Canis lupus familiaris: one gene and its partners. The protein of the gene in region 7 interacts with the protein of the main gene of each other region in a pairwise test. Links are inferred from orthologs where the notes say so. Each region holds a gene or a part of one and is shown on either strand. Other genes may lie near its edges.

Region 1 (4,227 bases), on a different chromosome or scaffold from region 7:
CCGAATGAGCCAGCCAGGCGCCCCAACCCCCAAAAAACAACTTTGGTATTGGGAAGTTTCATTAGGAGAAAAGTGTTGGGCAACATTTCCTAGAACTCACACATGGTAGGGAGGGGACACACTGAAATGGCAGTGAGACACCAGGACACAAGTCGTACACATGCCCACAGACTAGATATGATGCACATGACATCCACTGTGAGCTCTCAATCTGTATTTGTTGAAGATACTAAATGAGAAAGGAAAGTTTATTTGGTGGCAGAGACACGAAAACATTGAACCTCACTAGTTGACACTGAGGTGCGAAACAAATCCATAGCCCTTCCCTTCTTCCCCCACCAATATTGCTCAAAGCTGGCAAGGACATGATAAAACTGGGCATCTGCACTGGCAGCATATGAACCAAGGAAGATCTTTTGGAAACCATGCTGGCAACGTAAACCAGGAGCCTGACCTGCAACCCCATAAAGTGAACAGAAGACCTGAGGGGGCTGTTAGGGAGAAGTGGCCACACCCTTCCTTGAGCAGGTAAGGAAAACAAGGTGTGTTGTATGAATGAAGACTGGTGTCATCCCAGCCCTTCCCCTGCTGCAGTGTGAGCTGCCTCCTTCACTGTGTTTCTCTCAATACTTTCTGCTGACTGTCCAAACAAGTGTTTACCTGTTCCCACGTGTTAAACGTAGGAGCCTGACAATCGTGGGTCTGGGAGGTATTGCAAATGGTTAAGCCACCAGCACAAACAGAAATGAGATGGTGGGGTACAAGGTGACCCCCACTAGCCCAGGGCCGGCCAAAGCAGCAGCACCTGTCAACAGGTGTACACAGGAGGCAGTGAGGGCTGCAGGAGGCCCCGCAGGTAGGAGTGCACAGTCCCCTGCACACCGCCTCCTGAAGCTCCTCCAGCTCCCTCCCTAACATCCGTGCCTAGGGACATCCTGTGTCCTGTGATGCGGAGCAATCACCTACCATCAAAACACATCTGCCTCTCCATTCTGCAGGTTACACCTACCTTTCCTTAAGTGGGAAACTCAATAAAATCGAATGCGGTTTTCTCTCCTCTACGGAGGAGACCCGTACCCCCCAACGGCGACCCTCCACCGTCAGGTAGAAGCACGCGGGGCTCCGGGGTCCCTGGCAGCGCAGACCTGCCCACAAGTCAGAACCATCGCGGGGGCTCATCTCCAGGCTGCACGTGCACCTGCCCTCAAGTCCCCGGGGGCGGGGGCAAAGGTCAGGATGAGGGAAGGGCTCGCTGTGCCCGCTTACACAGGGCCCCGGGGACAGAACTCCGGGGAACGAGTCCCTCAAGGGCGTCGTCCCGAAAGACGGAAAACAACCCCCGTCTCTCCGAGCTGGGACGCCACCCAGGACGGACTGGCAAGTGTTCAGGGAAGGCCGACGGCGGCCCAGGATGGGCAAGGAAAAGTAACCTGTTACTCGGAACCAAAGCCCAGGACACCCGTCCTTTTGGGGCGGCCGCGGCCCGAGACTCCCGCGGCCGCCGCTGCCGGTCGCCCCCTGACAACCTCGACCTGCCCCCGGGGGCCCGCTAGCCCGCGGACTCGGGAGGCTACCGCCGCAGGTGAGGTCGGTGGTCGCGCCCCCCGGCCCACACCCGGGAGGCGGGCAGGGCCGTCCCAGCCCCCGACCCCGCGCCCCTGGGACCGGCCCCGGCCCCCGGGCGGCGGCGACCGCGGGCGGAGGGCCGGGCCGAGGGGCCGCGCGCACTCACCGTTCGCTGCCCCGGGCGCCTGCGGGGCCGTCCTTTCTCCGGACCGAGTCCGCGGGCCCCGCCGCCCCGCCGCCGCTTGCGGTCGCTAGCCGGCCCCCGGCGCCGCGGCCGCCCCCGGCCCCATGGCCGCCCCCCCCGCCCCACGGCCGCCGGGACCGCGGCGCCGGCCCGCCGAGCAGCAATGCAGCCAGTGCGCACGCGCGTCCCGCCCCACGCATGCGCCCCGCCTGCGCCCCGCCTCGCGCACGCGCTCCGCTCCGCACATGCGCCGCGCCCCAGGCACAGGGATCCGCCCGCAAGGACCCGGGGCCGGAGGCTGGGGCCCAGGGGGCCGGGGAGCCGGGGCAAGGGGCGGGAGTTTCCCGGCAGGTTGGTTCTCTGCTGCCGCGACCCCGAAGGCGGCCGCCGAGAAGAACCTTGGTCCGCACTCACCCCGCAAGTTGGAGGCGCGTCCGTGGGTCCGCCCCCTGCCCCTGCCCCCGTCCGCCCCCGCTCGCCTGCATCGCGGGCGGGGTGTGCTGGCTCCGGGTCCCCTCGAGTGGCGGCAGCACCCGCTTAGGATTCCACAACCGACGGGCTGTGAATCTGCTTAGAAGGCGCCACCACAGGGGCGCTGCGCCTTGGATGTCAAAGGGGGCCCCTCCAGATGACCTGCCATACCCCCCCCCCCCCAGAGGACCCAGAGAGGAGAGAGGAAAGGGACCAGGGACATGGTGCCCACTTTATAGCTTCCGGTGGGGCCGCAGGCTGCCCCAGGCCACGCAGCAGTCGAGTGTCCCAACAGGGTGCCAGGCTCCTGGGACAGGGCACTGTTGGGCGGTGCCCACCGTTGTTCCCCGGTACACTCAGGTTCCCCCCACCTTGTGTGGAGCGGCGCCCTCTGCAGCAGCCTGGCTGCCGCGTTTCCACTGCCCCGGTACCTGCTGTGGTCAGTCTTCTCGGGTGGGGTCTCCCGGCCCTGTGTCCAGAGACTTGAAACACAGGTGGGCAGAAGACAGGACATGTCTTAGTGCTTTCCTGGGACAACTGGGCAGTGGATCACCAAGAGTGAGTAGAAAGGGGGGCAAAGCTGTCAGGACTTTGGGGGGATTTCTCAACCTCTGGGGATTTCTCAACTTCCCCGTCTGGTTATTTTGGAAACCCAACCACTTCTCTAAAGTGACAGCCAGCCACACCCACAGAAGCCTTTTGAGCTGTGTATTTTGGATATGATCATGAACAGAATAACACAAATGCTTGATCCAGCACTTAACCATGTTCCAGGCACTGGGCCAAACCTCCCAAGATCCTTCTAGAGCAGGAAGTCTAAAGAGAAGGCATCAAGGCAGGAGAGCCTGTCTCCTAAGTAGCCAAGGTCACACAGCAGGCCACTTCCTGTGTGCCTCTGTCTAAAGGGAACTTGTGCAGGTGTGGTAGTAATGGAAAGCCTCCGTCCACCCTAGACCTCAAGACTTCAGGCAGGAGTGCTTCCCCATTTCAGAGATGAGAACACAGGGCTTCCTCAGCTGAGCAGATTGTGCAATTTCTCCCAGCAGGCTCTGGTCCCACCAGATCCCCAAGGGCTGACCAGCAATAATAGAAGCCAATGCTGGGAAGGGTTCCTTCAGGCATCCAGAAGGTTCCTAGAGGAGGTGTTGCTTAAACTGAGTCCAAAGGTGGAGTAGGAATAAGCCAGACTTGATGGGGAGAGGGCAGGACCAGCAGCAGGGACAAAGGCCAGTGTGGGGGATGGGTGCAGGGCAGACTTGTTTGGGCTGGGCGGAGGGTTATGCCTCAGAGGATCTCAGGTAACCTTTCCCAGCACTAGTATTTGTTTCCTTGTATTTTTCTGAAATGTGACTTGTGACTCCTGTTTTGAGCCTCAGATTCCTAAAACCTAGATGCACTGTCTTCTGAAGGTTGAATGATGGGGGACAGCAGAGTGGGTGGGTTAGGTGGCAGAAGGAAGCTTGGGCTATGGAAGGTGGAGCCAGAGGCTGCCTGCTCAGAGGTGGACTCATTCAGGTAGGGTGGTGGTCCTAGATTCTGAGTGCAGCCTGCGAGGCGGCTCTAGGATGGAAGGGGTTCCCCTCAGAGTCCTGCTCCCAGCTCATAGGGAAGTTGGCCTCAACTGTGCCTGGCAGGGGTGAGAGGGGGGTGAACAGAGGCTGCCCAGCATTGAGAAGGGGAAGTGGCCTGGAGCCTGGGTGACAGGGGTGGCACGGAGGGGCCAAGGCTTCTTGTGAAGGAGGGGGGCGTCTTGGGGTGTGCAGAAGTCATCTCATCCATCCCCCAGCCTCAGCCCTCTAGCCAGCACGTGAGGACAAGTCCAGCCCCTCTTGCCCTGGCCTTACCTACTCCTCCCCATGGGCCAGGGTCTAGAATTGCCAATGTGGCAGCGTCCTGTTTGCAGCGGGGCAGCCCCTGTTCTTGCAGGCCCGCTAAGTGCCAGGCACACGGCTCAGCAGGGAACAAGACCTTGGAGTAAACTGTAAGCCACTCACCAGGATAGCCAG
Region 2 (3,500 bases), on a different chromosome or scaffold from region 7:
TTTTCCCATCCTCTAAAGCTTGACTTTGAACTATAGCAATCCACCCTAAAGGACAGAGAAGGCTGGGACTCTGGGAGCATGAGCCACACTAGCCCACACTAAGAAGTTCACTCAGTTATGCTCTAATGAAAGAAGGAGGTTCCTCCTTTTCCTTTTCACAGAGCTTGTTCCTTTGTCCTCTTTCAGCTTAAATTCTTTCTACAGATTCATCCCAGATGAGAAAAAGATTGTTTTTGGATAATAAGCATCTCTGCTATCAAAAAAATATAAGAAGAGATGAAGACTTTTACCTCAAAACAGAATCACTGCAGTGCATTCCAGACCAGCCTTCAGCAAAGCAAACCCTTGTGCAAGGCCACTGCAGCCCCTAGTTTGCCCACAGGCATAGAGGACACTTGAAAGCTCATAAAAGGAACCCTGACCTGAACAGAAGACTACATTTGATAATGGGAACAATATATTTCTCCACTGATATATAATACTGTGTAATGCACGGAAAAATTCAGGATGGACTTTGGAGTAAGAGCACAATTTGTAACATAACATCATTTTTGGATCACCTCTTCCCATCACCCTTGCTCCACTCTGAGACTCTTCACCACCCTGGTGTAGCCAATACATACTGAGGATGAAACAAGACAAGGAAACAGTGTCACAAGCCACGTTGGAGCCATCTGCATGCAGTTCAGCCCAGCTTTACCCTTACTTTCTTTCAATACAGACTCCATTACAATTTGAACCATCTGCAAAGAGTGCAAACAAAACTAAGAAGTATCTCTCTATGATTAAAATATTTTAAAGTCTTCAGAAACTTTCCAGATGTACCTTTGATGGAGCTCCCCACCCACCACTAGAACCCATCCTCTGCTCCTGTGAGTCCTGCCAGACTTGTTTAATGGATGCTCAGTTTTGGTTTTCCTCCTTATTCTTCTTCCTCTTCCTCTTCCTCATCATCATCTTCATCATGGCAGTGTGTAATTTCCTGGGGGGCCAGTGGGAAGAGGTTGGGGGGTTTAATCTCACTAATCGACCGGGTCAACTGGTGCCGCTTATAGTCGGTATCTTTGAAATCAACTGATGTGCGGTTCCGGGTGGCAAGAGGGGACTCCATCTCATTGATATCTACATGTGTGTGTTCCACCGTTGATTCATGAGGCATCTAAAACAAAGTCAGAGATTCAGAAAGCAAGTGGAGTAAAACAGTTTTCCAAATCCTAATCTCTTATCCCGCTTAAGGTGGCTGTGCAGAGACATGTCTACAATGGATCAGAGGCCCAGCCAATTTAGATACTGAAATAATGTCTTTCTAGAACTACCTAAAGCTATCTTTTTCTTTCTCTTCTTCAAAACTGTCCAAATCATTCAGCTGCGAACTAGAAAAGATGAGGGAGAAAGATTCTTATTTCGCAGCAAAAACCAGTCCTGAACTATAGGTCAGTATCAGAACATAGCACTAAATGAGAGAAATACGGTTTTTATGCTTACAAAGAGGAAAGTCTTCGTTACTCAAACAACGTTTAATATACATTTCAGGGTAAACCTATACCCTATAACATTTGATCTTGATCCTGCTTTCTCAAAGACCCCTTTTTGTGCAACCATGCAACCTGCTTGTGGGCTTTTGCACATTAGAAAGACTGAAACTCTCTTGTACCACCCTATAAACCTGGTTGCAGATCTCAGCCTTACAGAATATATCTTAATTGAAAATAGTAGCATAAGACTGTATTAACTCACCAAGACATGAGCAGCTCTGAAGAGGTAGCTGAATGGATAATACAGCAGGTTGATGAAAGATGCTGCATAGAGATCAGCATATCGCATCACCTGACTGGCAAAGAGGGTCTGTCGGGAGCCACTGCGAAACAGGCTTCCCATCATCCCATAGCACATGTCCATGTCATGAGTTACTTTCTAAAACAGAAAAGATTGAATTCAAATAGTTATTGACTGCTGACTATACACCAATCCCTATATAATAGAAGAAATAAAAAAAATCACAACTTGATCTTCCAAGTTTTCTCCCAAATCCCATTTGGATACCTTAATACGTCTCTGAATGGAACTAATGTCTGGGCGCTCATTGCTGCTGCTGTCAAGATGCCTAGAAACAAAAGAAAACACCACTGAAAATCTCTAGAAAAGATGTCTCTTACACCCCTAGGTGATTCCCAAAGAGGTAGATGGTTTTTAGGGAAGAAATTTTTCTTTTGAGAATCCAGAAACTTACTTGTAGAGTTCAGCCAAGAAAATATCCAAGCTCTGAAGCTCTTCGAAAAGTGCTAAAGTTCAGAAGGGAAAGAAAAATGTTTTTTAAAAAACATTCAGTTTAAAAAATATAAAATAAAATAAAAAATAAAAAGCATTCAGTTTTTAACTGCTGCTGGAACTAATTAGAAGGTTGTAGACATGGTTGAAAAGTAAAGCTACAGGTAAGTGTACAAAACGACTTCCTTCTCCAGTGTTAGGAAAACCCACTCCTGGCCTGCTTGAGATCTAGCAGCAGATGAAAGTCATGGTTTCTTCCTTAACTGCTTTTCTTCCTACCTGAATGCCACTCACTACAACTCTCCCTTCCAAATGGATGCTGACTCTGAGCTTACAAATCAACTAGATTTATAGAATCCCCTTGGTGAAAGGCTGAAAATGGGGATGAAGGGCTGGCTAGAAAATACCGCCAAGGACGAGCAACAGCTAGGATCTGTTGCATGCTTTAAAAGTGTTCCATCTTTCTCGACCTGGCTTTCCCAAAAAGAATTTAGCCCTAATGGATCTGTTGTGTGTAACAAGTTTTATTTATTTTGGGGAAAACTGAAAACACAAATCAATTTCTCTGTTCTGTGGGTCAGATGAGGTGCCATGACTGAGAAACGTTGTTTACTTGTAACTTTTTTGTACATATATTACACCGCAGTTAAGTCTCAATGAAGTATGTTATTATCCTCATTTTCAAATTTGAGGAAACAGGTGTCCCAGTAACTTCTAAGGGCATGAAGATATTAAGTAGAAGAGCTGGGTTAAGTACCTGAAGCAGTACCTTTCCCCACACTGTGGGTAATGCTAGCAAGGACTGGCTGGAGAACTTACGTGTCAAACAACTTTATGTAACTGGACCTACATATGGCTCAATTCAGCGTACAGTTCAGAGAATACAATTTGGCCTCATTCTCTACTTCTCAGAAGAGCAGGGGGAAAAAAATAGGACATATGACTACTCAGAGCCATCAATGCCCTCAAATCACAGATATAGGCTCATGGCAGAGAAACTGAAACTAGTAGGTATGGTTGGAAAATACGGGACTACAGAGAAATGTGGAATTCAGTTTAGTTGCTACAATAATATAACTTAGGATAGCAACATTCTGTGCTTAACCCTGAAGGAAGTCAAGAAGTCTGAACAAGATAACCTCTACTATTTTCTCAAATTTTGGAGTTCTGTACCTTACCTGGCTAGAAGAAAGCTATCTAAATATCTTAGGACCACCTCTGTCCCCCGCTTT
Region 3 (4,217 bases), on a different chromosome or scaffold from region 7:
CACAGGCAGAGGGAGAAGCAGGCTCCGTGCAAGGAGCCTGACATGGGACTCGATCCCAGGACCCCAGGATCACGCCCTGGGCCAAAGGTGGCGCTAAACCACTGAGCCACCGGGGCTGCCCCACGAGGAAGACATTCTAAGTATCTTAAATCTAAGTCTCTCGTATGACTCACAGCAATGCCCAGACATCACTCCACTTTTATTCATGAAAACGAAGGGACTGAATACATCCTTTTCAGCGATAACAGACCATACCTCATTTTTCTTTTTCTTTCCTGTCTTCATTACTATCATCACACACTTCTTTCTACCCTTCTCCTATACTCCCTAGGACTCCGATCAATAGTTCTCACATTAGAATTACCTGGGATGCTTTAAAGTAAATTCTAAGGGGCAGCCCGAGTGGCTCAGCGGTTTAGCGCCACCTTGAGACCAGGATCGAGTCCCATGTCGGGCTCCCTGCATGGAGCCTGCTTCTCCCTCTGCCTGTGCCTCTGCCTCTCTGTATGTGTGTGTGTGTGTGTGTGTGTGTGTGTGTCTCTCGTGAATAAATAAATAAAATCTTAAAAAAAAATAAATCCTAAGGATTTAGTAATGTATAAACACGCATTCATTCCCCCTAGTATCACTGGTCACCTACCTTAATGTTTCTAAGACCTGACACAGTAGTCAAGGGGAAAAAAAAAAAAAAAGCACTAAATTAAGAGTCAAAAATTTTATTACATTCAAACCCTCAGGCAATAAACTCAGCTCTTCACAAACTCCCTCACCTGTAAAAAGTAAGTAGCACTTATCTACTTCAGGACTGTTGTCAGGATTAAATAAAACCACACAAATACAGTTTTTAGTAGAGGTAAAAAGTACTGAACAAACGGAAGCATAGTAAGATTACTGATATTCACGCTGCATTTCATATTCCTGCCGTTTCTAACATCCCCAGTCCTTGGGGTGAACTTGAATATGGACATATAGAGAAATTTCACAATTCCTTTGAGGCAGAAGCACCCTTCATTAATCCTCCCCAGCTATTTTCACATTCAGCACCTAGACTTCCCCGTGGCTTCTCTCTTTGGTGCAGTGCATCACCCTCAGGCCACGCCTTAAAAGCCACGTCAGACCTTGTTCATCATTACCTTCCACTTAGGAATGGGTACGATAGATAAATGCTACAAAACAAATAATGCTTTGGTGGAGGTTTATATATAAACTATATATATATAGTTATCATTCTGCACGCTTGTCCCAAATCCTGATTGAATTTATGCTAAAGAGGAAAGCTAACATTTTCAGCATTAGAAAAAGTCAGAAACCCTACATATATGCAAAAAGAGTTTGCTTATGTAATCTTTCTTTAAATTTTCATTTATTTTTTTTAAAGATTTTGTTTATTCATGAGAGACAGAGAGAGAGAGAGGCAGAGACAAGGGAGAGGGAGAAGCAGGCTCCATGCAGGGAGCCTGATGTGGACTCGATCCCGGGTGTCCAGGTCACACCCGGGGCTGCACACCCGAGCCACCCGGGCTGCCCTGTAATCTTTTTTTTTTTTTTAAGATGTTTATTTGCGAGAGAAAGAGAGAGAGAGAGCATGCTCGGGCAGGGGGAAGGGCAGAGGGGGAGGGCGAAGCAGATTCCCCGCTGAGCAAGGAGCCCGCAGTGGGCTGGACCTCAGGACCCTGGGATGCTGACCTGAGCCAAGACAGACGCTTAACCGACTGAGCCATCCTGCGGCCCTGTTTCTGCAATCTTTTAAGTGAAAGGTTCACCGTGGCAGCAGATGGCAAGAATATAGGCTAACGTGACTGGGAGTTGTAGAACTGCAGAGCTGGCCCTTCTCTCGTGGGGTGGGGATGGCGCGGGCAGAAGGCGGCCCAAGTCCCCACTCACCTGTACAGGTCGTAGCCCGCGGCCCGCGGGGACCCCTTGGTCGGGGCGGTGGCGTGCTCTGAGAGCCGGACGAAGCGCAGCCGCATGCCGTCCTCCGCAGGCCGGGCCCGCTTGCTGGGGGAGATGGCAGGTGTCGCTTCAGAGCAGGGCATGGCGGGGCAGAACGGGAGAAAAGAGAGCAGCAGTGGAACGAGTGACCCCAGGACGAGCGCGCCCGCCAGAATTTTAAATCTCCCGCCAGCAACCACTCGCCCCGCCCACCGCCCCGGACGAGCCCACTGTCCCGGCTGAGAGGGGAGGCGACGTTCAAATTTGGGGCTGGAAACCCTTCTTGCGAAGCGGGTTTGGGATATGGGAAACCACTGCGCCTTTCCAAGCTTTTGCAACTCAGGGCACAGCACCAAGCCGAGCGCGGCCAGCCTCGGGGGCCTCTGGGTCCCACAAGAGAACGCAACCGCCCCTCCCACTGGGGGCCCTAATGGAGGCGCGCACGCGCACGCGCACGCGCAGGGGCTGCGCGCCCTCCCAGGGGCCGCAGCGCCCGGAGCCGGGGCGGGGGGGAGGGGCGGCCTCCCGGCGCCCACTGCCCGGGCGGCCCGGGGGGCGGCGGCCGCGCTCCCAGCCTCCCCGCGCTCCGCCAGGCGCCCGACGTTACTGGCGCGGCAGCCGCCCCGGCTCGGCCTGCGGGTGCTGGACAGCGGTCGGAAGAGCGGCCCCGCGGCTTCTCCTCTGGGCGCGGCGCCGCGCGCGTCCTTAAACACGGAGCGGAGCCAGGACGTGGAGGAGAGAGAGCCGAGCGCGGGGCGAGGGCAGAGGGGAGTCATGCCCCGAGGTTCGGGCGCCGGCTGGTCGTCGGCCGCGGCTGGCGCGCCGGGCCTGCACCCTGAGGTCGCGTCCGGCTGGGATGACCTCGGAAGCAGTCACGCCGCCGTGTGACGAGGAGCGCACGCAGGCCCCGGCGCCCCGGGCGCGGCGTACGTCTGCCTCGCGCCCGCGGCCCGCGTCGATTTGCGGCCCGGGATTTCCCGGGGCCTGGCCCCTGCGCGCTGCTGCGTGACCTGGGGCGGCGCCGCCGGCGGCCGTGGCTCCTCAGGTGCTAAGCGCACGGAGCCGCCTCGCGGGGCGGGTGCAGTCGCCGCGCGCGGCGTGTCGGTTACCCCGTGAAGGAGGGCGGGGGCCGCGCCTCGCGACGACCCCAGGACGGCTAACTCGGTTGCCAGCGCCGCTTCCTACGCCCCAGAGGAGCAGAGATGGGGAGGGGGACCCCCCAGTGGCTATGCTTCCAACAGAGATCGCGGCTACCCTGGAATAACTCACCGGAGGGATGTGTAAATGGCTTTCTAGGTAATCGTAAATTGGGTTTTCGAGGATGAGCGTCCAGTTATTTCCAGAACTGCTGCAAACATCTGAAAACCAAGAATGTCACGCAGCTTGTCAAAATAAATGCAAACTGTGGTGCAGTTTTAGAAAAATGACAAAAAAAAAAAAATAGGGTTTTGCTGAGAAAAAAAAAGGTTTTGCTGAGGAAAAAGAAAAAAAAATAGGGTTTTGCTGAGGAAAAAGAAAAAAAAGATAGGGTTTTGCTGAGGAAAAACAAAAAAGATAGGGTTTTGCTGAGGAAAAAGAAAAAAAGGGTTTTGCTGAGGAAAAAAAAAGGGTTTTGCTGAAGAAAAACAAAAAAGGGTTTTGCTGAGGAAAAGGAAAAAAGGGTTTTGCTGAGGAAAAAGAAAAAAAGATAGGGTTTTGCTGAGGAAAAAAAAGGGTTTTGCTGAGGAAAAAGAAAAAAAGGTTTTGCTGAGGAAAAAGACAAAAAAGATAGGGTTTTGCTGAGGAAAAAACAAAAAAGATAGGGTTTTGCTGAGGAAAAAGAAAAAAAAGGGTTTTGCTGAGGAAAAAGGAAAAAAAAGGGTTTTGCTGAGGAAAAAGAAAAAAAAGATAGGGTTTTGCTGAGGAAGATAAGACTTTCCTGCTGTGCCTTACAGGCCCCGCCTCTGCAGCTTTTTATTGGCTCCTTTCAAATGTTGGAATTCCTCGGGATGAGGTTATGGATTATACCCTTTATACTCTCTTCCCTGCCTTTAAACAGCTCCCACCTGATGGGAGATGCCTCACCACCGTTTTCTAGCACAATAGCCTTTTCTAATCACATCAGTATAATCTGTACTTCTTTCATTATTTACTTATTTTTTCCCATTGTCTATTTGCTCTAGTAAACATAAGGTCCGGAGGGCAGGGACCATATATGTCTTCGTTCCCTCTTGTATTCCTGGGGCCTAGCCTCGTGCCTGGCTCAAAAGAGTGCTTCATAAATATTCTATGAATGAAAGAGCTCT
Region 4 (3,991 bases), on a different chromosome or scaffold from region 7:
TTTGCAGGGACCGCGACAGTGCGCTCCCTCTCCCGCCTGCACCGCTCTCAGGGGTTCCTCCGGCTCGCAGGTCCCCTCCTCCAGGTGCGCACCCGGACTTACTCCCCTGCCCCCCCCCCCCCCCCCCCCCGGCCCGGCTGCCTCTCACCTGCGCTGCGGATGCGCTGGGAGCCGGCGCCGGTCACGCCAGGAGGGTCCCCCCCCCCGCCCCGGGGCGTCCTCCCACCTCCACCGCCGGTTGCCCGCGCGCGCCCGCCCCGAGGCCACGCAGCCCGAGCCGGGAGCGGAGCCGCGATCCTACCCGCTCCACATCCCGGCGCCGCCGCCCGTCAGCGCCCGCCCGCGGCCCCGGGCACCCAGTCCCCCGACCCGGCAGGTCACGTGGCCGAGGGGTGGCCCGAGGACACGTGCCCGGCCCCGCCCTCCGCCGGCCGCGCGCCCCGGGACGGGTGACGGCGGAGCAGGGGAGGAGCCCGCGGGCGGCGCGTCCTGCGGCCCCGCCCCGGAGTCGCCTGGGTCCCCTGCCGCCCCCGCACCCTTTCCCGCCTTTGCCCAGCATCTACGGGGGGGGGGGGGGGATGCACCCCGGGGTGCACCCCCACCACGCACAGCGCACAGCGGTCTGGTTTTAGGTCCTCTGCAAAACCTCTCCCTGCAGCCCAGACCACTCGTCTTCCGGTCCCTCCACCCCTCTGCCTCCGGCCCTGAGCCCGGACTGCGGGCCTCGTCTTCAGCCTGGGGCGGGATCCAAGGAGTTTAGCTCCTTTTACCTTCCGCCAGGGACCGTGGCTCGCACCCTCTGTGTCTAGAGAGGCCTAGGAGGCCAGGAGAAAGAAGGTGCGCCCCTTCCAGATGCTACCAGAACTCAGGACACGACTCTTCCAGGTCCACAGAGCTGGGACCCCAGGCTTGAATTTGTCAGGTCGTCACTGGGGACACGCATTTGTTTCATTCATCCTTTTTTTGTTGTTGTTGGTTCGGTCATCCATTCATCCGTCCCTCCGGAGCACAAACTATGGACCATCAAAAGCCTGGGGACCCAAAGGGAAACTGCACAGACACATGCCCTGTCATCCTGGGGTTCCAATGTGCTAAGGAGGTGGGGGTGGGAGACACTCGCAAGGGCTTCCACTTCCAGGGCCACCCTGGACACACTCTGCTAAGTGCACGTGTCTTTGTCAAAAATGTAAGATGGTCCTGCCTTCCTAGATGAGCATAGCCCATGCCAAGGTGTAGGACTTGGTGAGTGGAGGATAGGCTACATGGATTTCATGCTTTGCTAACTCACTCACTGCACAAGGTGCCAGCAACCTGAGCAGCCCACTGTGACATCCCTTCTGACTTACCAGAATCATTCTGCCCAGACCTCCAATGCCCTTCACTCCACAGGGCAATTGTTTCTCAGACTGTGGTTTCCCAAGGGCAGGGGCCATCTCAGTGCAGTGGGGCTCTCTACCTATCCCAGCCTAGTCCAGGGTCTGGCCCAAAGCAGATGTCATTGTGTTTGACTTGAATCCTATACCATCTAAGTCTTGAGCAACAGCTAGCTTCCTGGCCCTTGCTCTGTTCATTATTTAGGGGAAGGGGAGAAGAAAAGGAGCTCAGGACAGGGCCCTCACCCTCCAAGACTTCACAAGCCGGGGCAGGAGATAAGATTGGTCCAAGTCATGGTAACCCAGACTGGTGGGAGATAAGGCATGGAGGGGGTGTCAGCCCAGGCGAAGGCCCCAGAGGAAGAGTCCTTAGCAGGATAGGGGAGGGCCAGTGGGCTGTGGGAGGCCCTTAAGTGAGGCCTCCAAGGACAAATGTGGGGTCACCACTCTGGGAATGCTGTCATCCCAGTTACTACCTAAAAATATCACATCATCTATACATCCAGTGACCTTCAATTCCCAGGCCTCACTAGCTCCTCCCACAGCCCAGTGAGCTCTACTCAGCTGAGAAGGATGGGCTCAGAGAAGTTCAGGAACTCACCCCATGTCACACAGCCAGGGGCGGTGAGGCTGTGACCCCTCCTTACACTAATTTTCTAAATAGCCCAGAAACTAGAGAACTCACTTGAAGCTGCAGCAGTATGCTGTCAGGCAAAAAGGGAAGCTTCCTAGGGGCCTGGCCAACAGGTGGGGAGGGAGAAGTAAAAGGTCAAGGCCTCAAACCATGGTCCTACTCCACCCTCCCCATATTCCCCCTCCCCACCTGACAGCCTTGACCACAGAGCCTTGGCTGGAGGCAGATGAGGAACAGGAAACTGCCAGCCTGGATGACCCGGGCCCCAATTCTGACTTCAGTCTCTCCTCGGCTAACCGTATGACTCAGGGTATTTGTCTTGCCATCTCTCATCCTCAGACTCTGTGTCTGTACCACACCAAGTTAGACAACAGGGTCCACTCCTCAACACTGACCTTGTAGGAGGCTCATCAAATTCCTCAGAGTTCTCTGTCCGTCCCCTGTCCCAAGCCTGGCTTCTTCCTCCCTCCTCCCCCAATGTCTCTCCAGAGTGGCAAGACTCCCCACCTGCCAACCCCTCCTCTGTGCCCCAGGTCACTGGCTCACCTGTCTGTGTCCCAGGGCTCCTCTTCCAAGTTACCCTCTGGTGCGGGGCCCAGAACCGATGGGGCGTAGCGGACAGCCCCTGAGCTCAGTGCCAGGAACACGGGGCATGATCCTCGGGCAGGGCACCTGCTGTGCTCCTTGGGGTCATCCATGCTGGGACCAGCCCAAGGGTCCCTCTGGAGACCGCCAGGCAGGCAGGTGGCAGAAGCCTTCTCCCCGACCCTGCGCAGAGCCTCACGCTAACCTTTGCTATCTCTGAGGAGCAGCAGTCTGGGAGAAAGGCCCCTCCCAGCAAGCCTCTATCTCCTGAAGCCCCATAATTATTAACTCCTATGGCTCAGCGGGCAGCAGAAGGTGCTGGGGCCCTTCTCCCTGGGTGCCCGGCCAGGGAAGGTGAGACTCCCTGAGACCCCCAGCTTCCACGAGGCCCGAAGGAGGAACTGCCTGTCCCCTGCCTGGCCAGGTTGGCCGGTTGGAAAGATCCAGCACAGACACTATCACTAGCTGGTTGTGTGGCTTTGGGCGAGCACCTCTGCCTGCTCCAGGCCCCATCCTTGGCCTCAATAACCCCTTAAAGCTTGTAACCACCAATAAAAAGGCACAATTCAGTGTAGCAGTTAAGAACACAGGCCCGGTGTCACATGGGCTGGATTCTACCCCACTCCAGACTATGAGCCTTCGGGCATGTCACTCTCTCTGTGACTCAGTTTCCCAACTATAATAAGGAAATCTCACCCTCTAAGGCACACCAGGCCAGCTGCCACTGCCCAGACATGCCCTACACCACGCCTTTCCTCACACAACGCCCTCTGCGCATGTCCTACCCCCTGCAGATAAATCTTTTTTGTTTATACCACCCCTTCGCCAGGAAGCCTTCTCCCCTGAGGACTGTTTTCCCCCCATAGCACAGGGGTGAAGGCCTCAGGCACATATCCACCTGCGTCATGACGGAGTAGACCTATTTGACACCCCCACAAGAACTGAGTGACCCTGTGGGCGGAGGCTGGCCCACACTGACCTCCAAATCCTCAGCACCCCCTTATCTGGGACGCGGTCAGCATCAGTCCACCGGGATGGTTTGAACGTTCCACCCTGCTTCATTTGGCTTGAAAACTCATCCTAGCTCTGCTGGTCTATGGCTGTGTGACCTGAGGCAAGTCCCTTCACTTCCCTGGGACTCAGTTTCCTCATCTGTAAAAGGGGACCAACTGTCTTCAATGAAGTTGTACTGGGGAAGGATCTGCCACGCTTGACATGAGTGTTCTCTGGCTTTCTCCCTCCCTTTCCCTCTTCTTTCCTGTCAGCCTCCGACCTCCCGAGGGGGGAGAAGCTGCCAGTTCCTGCAGAGCAGTCACACCCCCGCCAGCCTTACCCTGCGGATAACAATATCTCCCACTCAGGCTCCGGGCTTCCAAGCTCTCAGCCTAATGCAAACCAG
Region 5 (3,938 bases), on a different chromosome or scaffold from region 7:
AACTGGTATTAGCCATCTCTTTGATCTTTACAACAATATAAGGAGGAAAATGCAGCCCAGAGAGGGTGAGCCACTTGCTTAAAGTTGCCCAGCCAATACGCAGCGGTGGAGGGGGTGGGAGGGTTGTGCAGCCTGGGTGGCTCAGCGGTTTAGCGCTGCCTTCAGCCCAGGGCGTGACCCGGGATGGAGTCCCCCATCAGGCTCCCTGCATGGAGCCTGCTTCTCCCTCTGCCTGTGTCTCTGCCTCTCCCTCTCTGTGTCTCTCATGAATAAATAAATAAAATCTTAAAAAAAGCCAACAATAAGCAGGGGGGCACGTTGTGCAGCTGAAGAGGATGTCACTCTTATGACAGGCCTTGCTGTGTGACCTCAGTGCAATCAGTTCATCTCTCTGAGCCCTGGCTTACCAACATGAGAGATTCTTATGAAGGGTAAGTCGTTAAACTGACAGCATTTCCCCTTCAAAGGGGACCTTGAAGAGGACCTAAAAAACCACACTCATGAGGATACCTTCATAGTCATCAGCAAAGGGAAGGGTCATTGCCATCACTTCATAGATAAGCAAATTGAGACCACAAGATGGGAGCTGTTTCTTCAAGATATTTGTGATAATTATGAGGCCGAGTAGTTTATCTTATTTAATACCCACAACAACTCTGTTGTTCATGATCATCATTCCCATTCTAGAAACAGAAGAACTGAGGCCAGGATGGAACCAGCCAGGATGTGAGCCCCAGTGCAGGGCCTTCCAGGGCTGTACTGTCCCATCCAAGGAGACAGGGGGATGGGAAAGGGGATGGAGAAGACAGATGGGGAACTGAGGGGGAGGGAAAGGAAGGGATGGAAGCGGGGAGGTGGGTGGACACCAAGGGAGAATGGCCTGTGGGCCACACAACTCACGGTAGCCAGCGTTGTTGACTACACAATCCAGACGGCCAAAACGACGGACAGTCTCAGAAATGAGAGTCTGAGGACAAAGAGGTAAGTGAGCAGGGCTGGCACCCAGCCTTGAGGATCCTGGACTCCCAAAAGCAAAGGGGAAAAAAAAAAAAAAAAGCAAAGGGGGAGGTGGATCACAGCCAAGGTGAAGGGAGCTACAGGAAGTGGGGGCTTCCCCTAAATCACCAGAGGGCTGGATATATTCACACTGCAGAGACCTGGTGTCCGGGTGGGGGGCAGAGGGTGGACATCAGAGAGACATTGACCGAAGTGAACGGATAGAATCCCAGAGGCGGGAGAGGAAGACTCTTCCAGAAGGAGATCCACTGTGAGGGATTTTTGTTGTTGTTGTTCCAGTCTATGTGACAGGTGTGACAAGAGCTCCATAGTGAGAGATAAAGGAGAAACTTTGCAGGAGACCCAGAACCTGGCCAGCAGAATCAGGGAAAGTCCGGAGCAGCAGTCTTTGGGGCCAGACAGGGTCAAGAATAGCTCACCTGCACATCTTTCTCCCGGGTCACATCACAGAGGATAAAGACAGTTCCAGTAAGCTCCTGCTCCAGGGCCCGGCCCCCAGACTCTGCAGGGAGAGAAGGGCTGGGGTCCAGACTCCTAGGTCTGAGGGAGGAGGGGCTGGGGTCCTGATTCTTGGGTCTGAGAGAGGAAAGGGCCTGGGGGCCCAGACTCCTGGGTGTGAGGGAGGAGGGGGCTGGGGTGAGGACCAAGGGACGCTCACTCACCATCTTTGTCACAGATAACCACTTGGGCCCCGTTTTGCACTGAGAATGGAAAAACAGGTTACTCCAGCACAGATCTTGGCAAAGGCCTCTGCTGCCCTCCTGTGGCCACCTGGAGTGGGGCCCATCTTTCCAAACGTTCCCCTCATGACCCCAAAGTCCCATGATGTTCCTCTAGAGCAAAGGGCAGAAGACTTGACCCATATTCTCCTTGGCCACTGTAGGTGCCTGCTGGGGTTCCTGAGCCCCCATCCCTGGGTTCCAGAATAAACCCGAAACCTGCAAGCCACATTCCCCCAGCCACCCCCACTTTGTAGATAGAATAACTGAGACCCAGAAAAAGAGAGTAACCATTTTTGGAGAACTGCCAAAAGCTCAGGCCCCAGGCTTAGGCTGTCAACCCTTTCATTAACATTGCAAATTGGGTTTTTATAGGCTAAGAATCTTGACTCCAGTACTGAAGTTCCCACACCCACTAGTTCCCAGGGTCCCTCCGCTCCCAATCTCTAATATTCCCCAAGTAGCCAGACCCTGACTCGCCAGACCCCTACTCACCGAAGGCTCTCGCGATCCCGGCTCCAATGCCGCGCCCGCCTCCTGTCACAACCACCACCTTCCCGGCATAGCGCGTCCCTGTTGCCATCCTGCTTCTGTCTGACTCTCCCTGTCACTCACTCTGCTTCTTTCCACCTCCACAGTCCAGTGAGGCCGTGGAGCAGAACCATAAATAGGGGCTGGATCCTGGAAGGCCGGCCCTGGGGGGGCGTTGCCAGGAAGGCCAGAAGCCTGGAAGTTTGCCCCCGCCCCCTCCTCCCTCAGACCCAGTTGTCTGGGGCCTCAGCTCCTCCTCCCTCAGACTCAGGAGCCCAGGCAACCAGCCCCTCCTCCGTCAGACCTAGGAGCCCAGGCCCCCAGCCCCTCTACTCTCAGACCCTCAGGCCCAGGAGTCCGGGTCCCCAGCCCCTCCACTCTCGGACCCAGGAGTCTGGGCCCCCAATCCCCTCCTTCCTCAAACTCAGGATTTATGGCATCCAACCCCCTCCTCCCTCAGACCCAGGAATCTAGGCCCTGCTTCTCCTTTTCCAGACCTACAGGTTTCAGACCGTCAGGACGCAGGAGGCCACGGCTCCAGCTCCGCCCTGAAGAGACCCCAGTGTCACAACCCCAAACAGACAGAAATTTATTGACTAAAAGTTCAAAGTTTTAATCCGAATTTGGACAAGTGTTGGGAAAACCAAACTTTGGCCCTGGAAACGTCTCCCACCCTAGGCCACCGCGGGGACCAGATCACGCCCCCCGGCGCCGAGAGCGGCTCCCGTCTCGGGGCGGTACCCCCGGGTCACGCCCCTCCCGCTCCGATTGGCTGCGGCGCTGGGGCGGGTCAGAAGCTGGACTGCAGCAGCGTGACTCGCAGAGGCCACGCCCCCTCCTCCTGGGTCAGGGCCGGGGGGGCGGTCCCGGATTCCCACGTGGGCTCCCAGGAGGCGGGGCCTGCGCCGCGCTCCCCACCTCCGCGGGAGAACCCGGCTGAGTGGGAATTAGCCACTGGAGATCTCGGGGGCGAGGTCCCCTGGGGGGTGGGGTCTGACGGAGGCGGCGGCGCAGGGGGAAGAGGGTCTCCTCGGGAGTCCAAGTTTCCACCTAGACAGCACGAGTGGGAAGTGAGAATGGCAAACTTGGGGACCCCTTTCCTCTCAGACCGAGGAGTCGAGCCCCCAGTCCCATCCTCCCTCAGACCCACAGGTCTGGCCCCACTCCCTTCCCCCGCCCCCCTGACCCAGGAGTCTTGAACCCCTGTCCCCTCCTGCCTGGGATCTGGAACTCCCAAGCCCTCTACGGCACTCTTCTCATCCAGACATAGGATTCCCAGCAGCTCTCACACTCCTCCGACCAGCAAGGACTCCAGGCTCTGGCTCCCTCTTCCCTAAAACCCAGGAGTCCAAGGTCCCCCAGCCCCTCACCTGTCATCAATCTGTGCCACTGCGACGCCTCAGTAGCCAGAGCATGAGAGAGGCTGAGGACTCGCTCCCGGTGACCTTCGGCTGTCGGCAAATAAGGGGTGGTGTTCCTGGGGCTAGAAAAAAAGAGAGAGGGATCCCTGGGTGGCTCAGCGGTTTAGCGCCTGCCTTTGCCCCAGGGCGTGATCCTGGAGTCCCGGGATCGAGTCCTGCATCGGGCTCCCTGCGTGGAGCCTGCTTCTCCCTCTGCTTAAGTCTCTGCCCCTCTCTCCCTCTGCTTAAGTCTCTGCCCCTCTATCTCTGT
Region 6 (3,433 bases), on a different chromosome or scaffold from region 7:
GAGCAATGTCCAGGGCATATCTGGGCTAGCTGGCTCTGACCCAGCCAGCCTCGGAAGGCTTCAATCAGGGTCGCCGCAGGGCCAAGAGGTGCAACACCTCGGGGGTGGTGGGTAAGGATGAAATCAAGACCAGTAGGGATGGTGAGAGCCCTTGATAACACATTAACCATTTCAGGCTGCTATAAAACTAAAAAGGGTGCTTAAGACGATGTTATAGAATCATAAGTCAAAACCAAGCTCTGGAGCACATGAGGAGAGGGCTAGGGTTTGTACCATCCTCCAAAACTCTAGGGCTGGGATATGCCTTCATCCTGAGACTCCAAACACTCAAAGTACAAAAGCGAGCTGGTTGGCAACATGACTTAAGACAGAGTTTTAAAAATTCCTAGAGTGAGTGAATTTGAGCTTGTCTCTTTAAAAAAAAAAAATCCCCTTTTTTGGTAGGAAAAAGAATGAAAAGGCACGCAGGGATTTAAAAAGAAACACAAAGAATCGAGTCGGAAGAGATCTTATAAATGTTAGGTTGATTTATAAGAGCTGCGCTGGGCAGTTAACAGTTTGTTTACAATGAAGAGCTATCTAACTGAACATACTGTGCATGGCAATTAGAAGTCGTCATGGCAAGAGGAAGCCACCGCCGGCCGGCTGCAGCCAACATGAAAACAGCCAGACACAGCCAGGAAAACATAGGGATGAAGATGGGGTTTGCATTTTATTATAAAAGAAAAAGTAACGCCTCAGGAATCTTAACAATGGAAAGGAGCATCTCACACTCAGAATAGACACCAGGATACAAAATGACAAGTGTTCTGACTCCAGGGCTGTCCCCATGTCCTCATAAGAGCAGAGATAGGAAGGAGACAGCCAAAGCAAACGGGTGATTCTGTAACAACGAAGACTCAGAAGAACCCTACAACAGGATTAAAATCTAAACTTCTGTTTTGCTTTTTAAAAAATTTTAATATATCAAAAGGCCTGCTTTAGTGACATGCTAGTCCCATCAGAAAATAATCCCAATAACCCCTTGTCAGTAACATGCAAGTTGACCAGCCAACTCTTTATTTCTAAACCTCTGTGTGTACATGTGTGTCTTTTAAACCAAAGCCACGGGGCTCAGGTGACTCCTCCTTCTACAACGTGCTTTCCACCTGTCAACCTGTCAACCGACCGGTGTCTACCCTCAATTGCAGAAGAGTGGGCAGGGCACATGGGAGCCCTATAGTGGCAGTGAGGGAATACCAAGTCTCCACTCAGTAGGAGATCCTTATTTCCAGACTATTCACCTCAAATCTGGCTCTCCGTGACCAGAATGTTTTTCCTCCTTTAGGAAAAAAACCACACATATCTGCACACCCATATATATAATTTTTTTTGTTTTTACATTTAAATATAAAAATACTACTCTGCTTTGTGTTATAAATGGAGGACCAAGCAATAAGAACTTTTTCTGCTAAGGTAGGTCAATCCATCCTTACACTGAGCTTGTCTTCAGGTGAGGGCTATCTCGCCCCAGATAGGGGAAGCCCTGCACCAGGAGGACGGGAGGCACATTCCCGCCTGATTCTCTCATAAGTCTCACTTTTTTAATAGAAAGTTGGTTATAACCTTATTCGAAGTGGAACTTCCCACCAGGAGGGGAAATCCTAACCTAACCCCAGAGTAAGTAACCCTCCCCACCCTCAACACTCAGCTACCTCGAAGAAAAGAGCCCTCCCCCTCCCTTCACAAACACTATTCTCTGTCCGGATAGCTACGCCTATTGGACAAACACACCTGATTAAATGGGAACAGTGGTTATGTCTCCCTACCCCCCTCCCTACTAACATACTAGACAGCTTTCAGTGACAGGGAAAAAAAAGGGGGGGGGGTGTAAAAAGATTAAGAACTTGACCCCTCTATCCTGGCCAAAGAAAGCAAGAGATATTAACTGGGCATGAGGAATAAAAAAAGACCTTGATATTCCGCCCTTTGAGTTACTGCTATTAGGACAGTCAAGAGAGGGGCAAACACGGAGGCAGGATGGAGAATTAATTAGGAGGGGTTCGATGGCTGTAAGTCTAGTCCGCTTAGTTTTTGTACTGGAAGGGTTCATCGCCAGTTTCGTTGAGAAGACATGTGCGGATGAGGGCTTCTGTCACCGAAAAGGGGTCGCAGTTGGCAGAGGGGCGACGGTCTTCAAAGTAACCCTTCTTCTCCTGGCCGACAGTCCGGGGAATGCGGATGCTAGCACCACGGTTGGCCACGCCGGCAGAAAAGTCGTTGATGTTGGATGTCTCATGGAATCCAGTTAGGCGCCGGGCATTATCCAGGCCTCCCTTGGGATCGTAGGCTCGGATGTGGTACTGGTGCCGCTTGCTCAGTTTTTCAATGGACTCCTCAATGTACCTAGGGTAAATGGAGAAGATGGTGGGGTCCAACCTGCCACCAGGAAATCTGCCCTTCAACGGCAGGGGGCCAGGTATGGATCTAAGAATGGAGGGGCTCCTCTATCAACGACTGCTTACAATTCACCAAAACATGGTCCCCACAGATCAAACATTCCACCAGGGCAGTAACTCTGCCTTCTTACCTGTGCATCCCACCCAGTGCCTCAGGATGGTGCTGGACACTCACTACATGGTATTTGTTAAAGGAAAAGATCCTTATCAAAGACCTTCCCCCACCCCTAAGCATTAAGTTCATTCACATGCTTTTTATTGTTACTAAGTTATTTCCTATTGAAGACTTTCAAACCCATTAATTAAATTAGGTCCCCCCTTTTCCAATCGCTACCCTTGGATTCGATTCCTAGAGTATTTTTTGGTACTTTTCAAATAGGAATGAAATGACAGAATTAGAAAACCACTTGTAAAGCCAAGTGCTAAAAGCTCAAGTCCACATGGAGAAGTCTGGCTCATTTAGCCCCAACACATCAGACCCTTGGCAAGTACGCGAGCAAGGAAAAGATGGCCCCATCAAGAGAAAGCACTTACTTTAGACCATTCTCCTCTCGCATGGCCTTGGTGCTGAAGTTGGTGTGGCAGCCTGCACCATTCCAGTTTCCGGGAATGGGCTTAGGATCAAAGGTTGCTATCACTCCGAAGTCTTCACATACACGATGCAAGATGAAACGGGCCACCCAGAGATGATCTCCCATGTCGATTCCTTCACAGGGTCCTATCTGGAATTCCCACTAGAGAGAACAACACAGTTGGCCTTTACAATAATGCCAACTTCTTACCCCGGTTCAGAAGCTCTTAACCGTGCTTTTTTCTCACCTCTATTCCAATCCCGCTTAAGTTTTAGGCAAACGAGGGTGCTGGCAAAAGTCCCCACTTGCCCATAGGTCCTACAGATGAACAAGTCACTTACCTGGGCAGGCATGACCTCAGCGTTTGTCCCAGCAATCTTGATGCCAGCATACAAGCAGGCCCGGTAGTGAGCCTCCACGATA
Region 7 (4,250 bases):
GCTATGGTGGATGGCAGGAAGCCTGCCCACCCAGGTCACTTGCTGTCTGGGAAGAGCTGGGAGGGTGTGGTGGGTCAAGGGAGGAGCTTCCTTCTTGATGCAGTCCCCTGCTTCCTGCTCACTTCCTCCCCACAGACACATTTAGGAAGGAAGGCAAAGCAAGTACCACCTATTTACTCAGCAAGGGGCCCACTCCCTTGGAATGACCCCCCCCATTCCCACCCCCACCCCGCACCCAGTCTGTGTTCTAAGTGCCTAAGAACCTGGAACCCGGATGTAGGCCTTTACTGAGGGGAGCATGGAAAATGATAAGTAGATGCCATCTCAGGTTCAGAAAGTTCTCTCCTCCCCTTAGGGAGTAGTGCCCTCATCATGCCCACAGAGTAATTAGATCCTTGAGCTCTGAACTCCTTGTTTGGTTAAAGTCACTGTCCTTTTGGTGCAGCGTAGGGACCTGTTCCACAGAAAAGGAAATTACCCTGAGAACTAAGAGAATCACCTGCTCCCAATGCAACAAGACTTCTGACTGCCAACCTCCTGCCTCCCTTAGGAAGGCAGAGCCACGGTAGGGGGTGGGGCACAGGTGCCCGGCTCCTTGCACCACGATGGCACCTTCCTATCTGTTGACTGGGACGACCGATGATTCCTGAAGCCTCTGTAAGAGCTGGCTTTGTAGGTCTTCCTCCATCACCTTCCACCAAAAAAAGTTCTCACCCCGAACTTTTGGGGGCTCACTCTGCATGCCTGGGTTCCGAAAAGCCACAGTCACCAGCACATTCAAGCAGATGCCATCTGCGTGGTCCTTGCCCAGGTGCTGCAGTCCAAGCAACCCCTTGGTCTCCACTGCCAAATGGTGCAGGGTCAGACATTCCTGTAGCAGCCGCAGGATGGCCATCTTGATGCCACCCCTTTGCTCCATGGGACTGAAGCCGCAGGCAGTGATGGGCAAGTGAGGCATCCCCTCTGTGCCCACCAGCACCCACACTGTCTGGACACTGGTAAAAGTGGCCACGAGTCGCTGGCAGACCAGACTGCAGGGAAGCTCCTGGGGCAGAAGAAGAGGGTGCCTGGCTTGCTGGCGGTACCGGGCAGCTAGCTCTACCAGGTGCAGAATGTCCTGGGCTCGCAGCGGGGTGGGCAGGGAGCTTCGTGGGTACCAGCCAGCCTGCAGGGACTCTGCATCTGCCTCCTTGGAAGTCTTGAGAATTCCACCTGGAGGAGATGTCGAGGATGGGGTGGGAGAAAGGGTCTCTGTTGAGAGAAGTGCTGGGTCCGGCAGAGTAAATGGTCACCCAAGGATCCTAACCCTGACCCAGGGTAATGGGATTGGTGGGGGCTGGGATCTGGAGATGCCAGGCTTGTCCTGGACAGAATAGGGGCTCATCGCACCAGAGGACAAGCTGAGGGGAAAGGTGTCAACTGCCCCCTGACAAACACTGCCACCAGGTGGGCCATACCTGTGGCTTGAGCGAGGAACACAAAGCGGATCCAGGATGGGCCCCGCTCCTCCACAGAAAGCAATGTCAGGGGCTCACAGTACAGCCCGGCCTCCTCCTTCACCTCCCGCTGCAGGGCCTCCACGATGGTCTCCCCAGGCTCCATTCTCCCCGCGGGTAGGTACCATGATCCACGGCACTCTTTCTTGGCCTCCTGGATCAGTAGAACCTCATCCTGAGGGGAGAGAGAGGATCCTCACCCCCACCACAGCTCCGCTGCAAACCTGCCCTTGCCCCGGGGGTGAGATCCTATCTCAAACACAGCCACCCAACACCCCCTTACTGGTGCACACCTCAAACCGTTGAGCTCTCCAGGGGACTGGCCCTTGTGTGCCTGGGGGCCTGCAGCTGTCTGTAATTTACCCTTCTTTGCATTCAGACTTCTGTTTCGGAAAGGGGTGAAGATTCTTGGGAGCTGTTTCAGGGGCTGGGGATTAGGCCCCACAGGGAGCTTTGCCATGTGTCCTGCACTGATTCCCGTCTATATGCCATGGGTCTCTGTAGTTCTCTCATCTCCCCTGGTGATTTACCAACTGCTTGTGGCAGGGCCTCCCACTGGGGCCTAGGCTTTGAAATACCCACCCCCCAAGCCCATACAACTCCTACCTATGGCCCTGGCCCCTTCTAGCTGTCATGGCAGCAACTTGTACAAGGATCAGCAGAAAAGAGCAGTGCACAGTGGGACAGGAGGCCCGAGTACAAGTGCAGGTCATGCCATTACTGTTCGTGGGACCCAGAGGAGGTCTCTGAGGCACTGGGCACATCTTTGAGCACACTAGGGGCAGGCACTGTGCTCGATTCTGGGGAAAGAAGAGGAACAAGGCAGGCCTCCTCTCGAGACACTGAGGCCTACTGGGAGGGAAGAAACAGGCTCCGGGCCTCAGATTCCTCTTCTGTATAGACGGATCAGCTCAGGGCTGGGCCGCACAAGGCTCAAGGCTCGGATGCAAGTGTGAGTGAGAGTGCTTTGCAAAACTGGGGAGCACCACGCACTAGGAAGCGGTGGCTCCTGCCGGGAGGTCCTCCGTCCCCACCGGGGCTGGCTGCGCTCACCTGCTCGTTGAGGAACACGGCCAGCACCACGTAGCAGACGTTCTTCCGCAGCCGCACCGGCGCCGGGGGCTCCCCGGCCGGCTCCGAATCATAGCCGTGCACGCTCACCCCCTGGCCCCCCAGCAGCGCCGCCAGCACCCTCGCCAGGCCCTCCGAGGCCATCGGGTCCCCCGGGGCCGGAGGACGGAGAGCGGCCGCAGTGAGCAGGCCGGGACGCCGGCGAGGCTGCGGTCGGGCGCCCTCGCCCCCTCCCCCTGCCGACCCGGGCCCGGCGCTCGCGAACGCGGAAGCGCCCGAGGAGCCCTGCCCGCTGATTGGCTAGGCGTCACCGCGGCCTGCGCGGATTGGCTGGCTCGCGTCGGTCATCGCGGGGCGGGGCGGGGCGGGGCGGGGCCGGCCCGGGAGCCCGCTAGGAGCCGGGTAGGACCCGGGCCTGGGGCGGGAGCCGCGCCTGGGCGCTGGGCGCCGCCGCCGGGCTTCTGCGTCTCCATCAGTTACCCCTCGCCTCCCTCCGCGCATCTCCAGTCGCCAGCCTCTCTAACTCCTCCAGCAAGCGCTTGTCGGCGCGGGTTCCGACGATGACGTCATCCAGCCTGCGGGCTGCGGAGCGCCACAGGAGCCGGCGACGGTGACGTCACAACAAGCCAGATGACGTCACGGAGGCCGGAGGGTGGGGGAGGGGGCCGCGGCTTGGACCCACCGTTCTTACGCCTGCCTACCGTGGCGTTGCCCAAATTGATCACTTCCCAGATAACCTTATTTCTTCACTAAAAATGTACCGCATGTCTCCACGGCAGGGGGAGCATTAGCTCCTGCCTTGGAGGGGATTCTGACCCTGGGGAGGTGGACATAGACATATAATGAAAAGTCCCTCAAGGGTTATAAGCCAAGTGCTAAATGATTGGGTTGGGCAAGAGGTGTGACAGGTGCTCAGAGGAGGGAGGGAGCAGGGCTGGGGTGGTCAAGGTGTGGTTGGCGGTGGGAGGAGGGGGTTTGGGGCAGAAAGAGGGCCTGTAATCAGCCAGCCCAACCTTCATCGGTGTCCTGGCCCCTTGCCCGCTGCATGTCCCACGCAGTTTTAGGGCCCTCTCCACTGCAGACTGAGAGCCCTGGGAGGGCAGGGACCAGGTCTTGCTCCTTCGGCTTTGTTCCCCGCACACAGAGCTCACAAGGCCTGGTGGCCTGGCGCTCTGAGAGCAGGGTGTGGGTTGTTTTGGCGAGTTCCTACTTCTCTCCCAGACTGACCTTTCCTCCTCAGAGCTTCCTTTAACCTACTCTTAGGACAGGAAGGCAGGGCCAGCTGGAGTGAAACTATAAAGGCAGCCGAATCAGAGCTCCTCATCCCCAGTTAGGTCTCCCCTTTCCCTCCTGCCAGCTTCCTTTTGGGAACGTGCTGATAAAGTACTGGACTTGGAACCAGATGTCCAGCCGCAGCTCACTGGCTGGCCCTGTGCCCCTGGATGAGTCGTGGGTCTTAGTTTCCTCATCTGTAGAGTAGGCTCATAATAGCCCTTCTTCCACAGGGTTGTCAGGGAGGTGAACCGTCCTGGGAGGAGCTCTGTAGACTGTTGTACAGGTCATCATGACCAGGCAGCCCAGCCCTCAGGGTGAGCCCTCCTGGCCACAGCACTTGTTGCCGCCACACAAAGGCCCACTGTCATGAAATATGCCTACAGGACCACCACAGAGCTGTAGTCTCTC

The links.
Region 1: the proteins of NUDT18 (region 7) and NADK interact in a two-hybrid assay, tested with the Homo sapiens proteins (2 studies listed by BioGRID and IntAct). The two-hybrid records come from large-scale screens. The link is inferred for Canis lupus familiaris from reciprocal best matches to the Homo sapiens genes NUDT18 and NADK.
Region 2: the proteins of NUDT18 (region 7) and NT5C2 interact in binary tests that used the Homo sapiens proteins (3 or more experiments, as listed by UniProt). The two-hybrid records come from large-scale screens. The link is inferred for Canis lupus familiaris from reciprocal best matches to the Homo sapiens genes NUDT18 and NT5C2.
Region 3: the proteins of NUDT18 (region 7) and DUT interact in binary tests that used the Homo sapiens proteins (3 or more experiments, as listed by UniProt). The two-hybrid records come from large-scale screens. The link is inferred for Canis lupus familiaris from reciprocal best matches to the Homo sapiens genes NUDT18 and DUT.
Region 4: the proteins of NUDT18 (region 7) and RAB3IL1 interact in binary tests that used the Homo sapiens proteins (3 or more experiments, as listed by UniProt). The two-hybrid records come from large-scale screens. The link is inferred for Canis lupus familiaris from reciprocal best matches to the Homo sapiens genes NUDT18 and RAB3IL1.
Region 5: the proteins of NUDT18 (region 7) and HSD17B14 interact in binary tests that used the Homo sapiens proteins (3 or more experiments, as listed by UniProt). The two-hybrid records come from large-scale screens. The link is inferred for Canis lupus familiaris from reciprocal best matches to the Homo sapiens genes NUDT18 and HSD17B14.
Region 6: the proteins of NUDT18 (region 7) and GLUL interact in a two-hybrid assay, tested with the Homo sapiens proteins (2 studies listed by BioGRID and IntAct). The two-hybrid records come from large-scale screens. The link is inferred for Canis lupus familiaris from reciprocal best matches to the Homo sapiens genes NUDT18 and GLUL.

Annotation. Positions count from the first base shown.
Region 1 is NC_049226.1:57,246,770-57,250,996, forward strand, and holds the start of NADK (NAD kinase), read right to left. Parts: upstream 2,801-4,227; 5' UTR 2,736-2,800; coding exon 2,653-2,735; intron 1,842-2,652; exon of another isoform or gene 1,733-1,841; intron 1-1,732.
Region 2 is NC_049249.1:15,716,918-15,720,417, forward strand, and holds part of NT5C2 (cytosolic purine 5'-nucleotidase), read right to left. Parts: intron 2,283-3,500; coding exon 2,231-2,282; intron 2,105-2,230; coding exon 2,044-2,104; intron 1,915-2,043; coding exon 1,738-1,914; intron 1,160-1,737; coding exon 923-1,159; 3' UTR 1-922. UniProt on the Homo sapiens protein: Broad specificity cytosolic 5'-nucleotidase that catalyzes the dephosphorylation of 6-hydroxypurine nucleoside 5'-monophosphates.
Region 3 is NC_049251.1:14,855,282-14,859,498, reverse strand, and holds the start of DUT (deoxyuridine 5'-triphosphate nucleotidohydrolase, mitochondrial), read right to left. Parts: upstream 2,801-4,217; 5' UTR 2,709-2,800; coding exon 2,540-2,708; intron 2,021-2,539; coding exon 1,885-2,020; intron 1-1,884. UniProt on the Homo sapiens protein: Catalyzes the cleavage of 2'-deoxyuridine 5'-triphosphate (dUTP) into 2'-deoxyuridine 5'-monophosphate (dUMP) and inorganic pyrophosphate and through its action efficiently prevents uracil misincorporation into DNA and at the same time provides dUMP, the substrate for de novo thymidylate biosynthesis.
Region 4 is NC_049239.1:55,107,790-55,111,780, reverse strand, and holds the start of RAB3IL1 (guanine nucleotide exchange factor for Rab-3A), read right to left. Parts: upstream 2,801-3,991; 5' UTR 2,706-2,800; coding exon 2,554-2,705; intron 403-2,553; exon of another isoform or gene 313-402; coding exon of another isoform or gene 302-312; intron 202-301; exon of another isoform or gene 149-201; intron 1-148. UniProt on the Homo sapiens protein: Guanine nucleotide exchange factor (GEF) which may activate RAB3A, a GTPase that regulates synaptic vesicle exocytosis. Promotes the exchange of GDP to GTP, converting inactive GDP-bound Rab proteins into their active GTP-bound form.
Region 5 is NC_049222.1:108,190,964-108,194,901, reverse strand, and holds the start of HSD17B14 (17-beta-hydroxysteroid dehydrogenase 14), read right to left. Parts: upstream 2,801-3,938; 5' UTR 2,769-2,800; intron 2,432-2,768; 5' UTR 2,320-2,431; coding exon 2,232-2,319; intron 1,719-2,231; coding exon 1,680-1,718; intron 1,520-1,679; coding exon 1,437-1,519; intron 968-1,436; coding exon 901-967; intron 1-900. Other genes in the region: PLEKHA4 (pleckstrin homology domain-containing family A member 4), read right to left, coding at 3,058-3,317, 3,638-3,750. UniProt on the Homo sapiens protein: Catalyzes the NAD(+)-dependent oxidation of L-fucose, yielding L-fucono-1,5-lactone, which rapidly converts spontaneously to L-fucone-1,4-lactone. Can also act on D-arabinose and L-galactose, with lower catalytic efficiency. Does not use NADPH.
Region 6 is NC_049228.1:15,608,790-15,612,222, forward strand, and holds the end of GLUL (glutamine synthetase), read right to left. Parts: coding exon 3,352-3,433; intron 3,173-3,351; coding exon 2,973-3,172; intron 2,386-2,972; coding exon 2,067-2,385; 3' UTR 501-2,066; downstream 1-500. UniProt on the Homo sapiens protein: Glutamine synthetase that catalyzes the ATP-dependent conversion of glutamate and ammonia to glutamine.
Region 7 is NC_049246.1:35,306,235-35,310,484, reverse strand, and holds the start of NUDT18 (8-oxo-dGDP phosphatase NUDT18), read right to left. Parts: upstream 2,801-4,250; 5' UTR 2,712-2,800; coding exon 2,550-2,711; intron 1,672-2,549; coding exon 1,458-1,671; intron 1,213-1,457; coding exon 617-1,212; 3' UTR 1-616. UniProt on the Homo sapiens protein: Mediates the hydrolysis of oxidized nucleoside diphosphate derivatives. Hydrolyzes 8-oxo-7,8-dihydroguanine (8-oxo-Gua)-containing deoxyribo- and ribonucleoside diphosphates to the monophosphates. Hydrolyzes 8-oxo-dGDP and 8-oxo-GDP with the same efficiencies.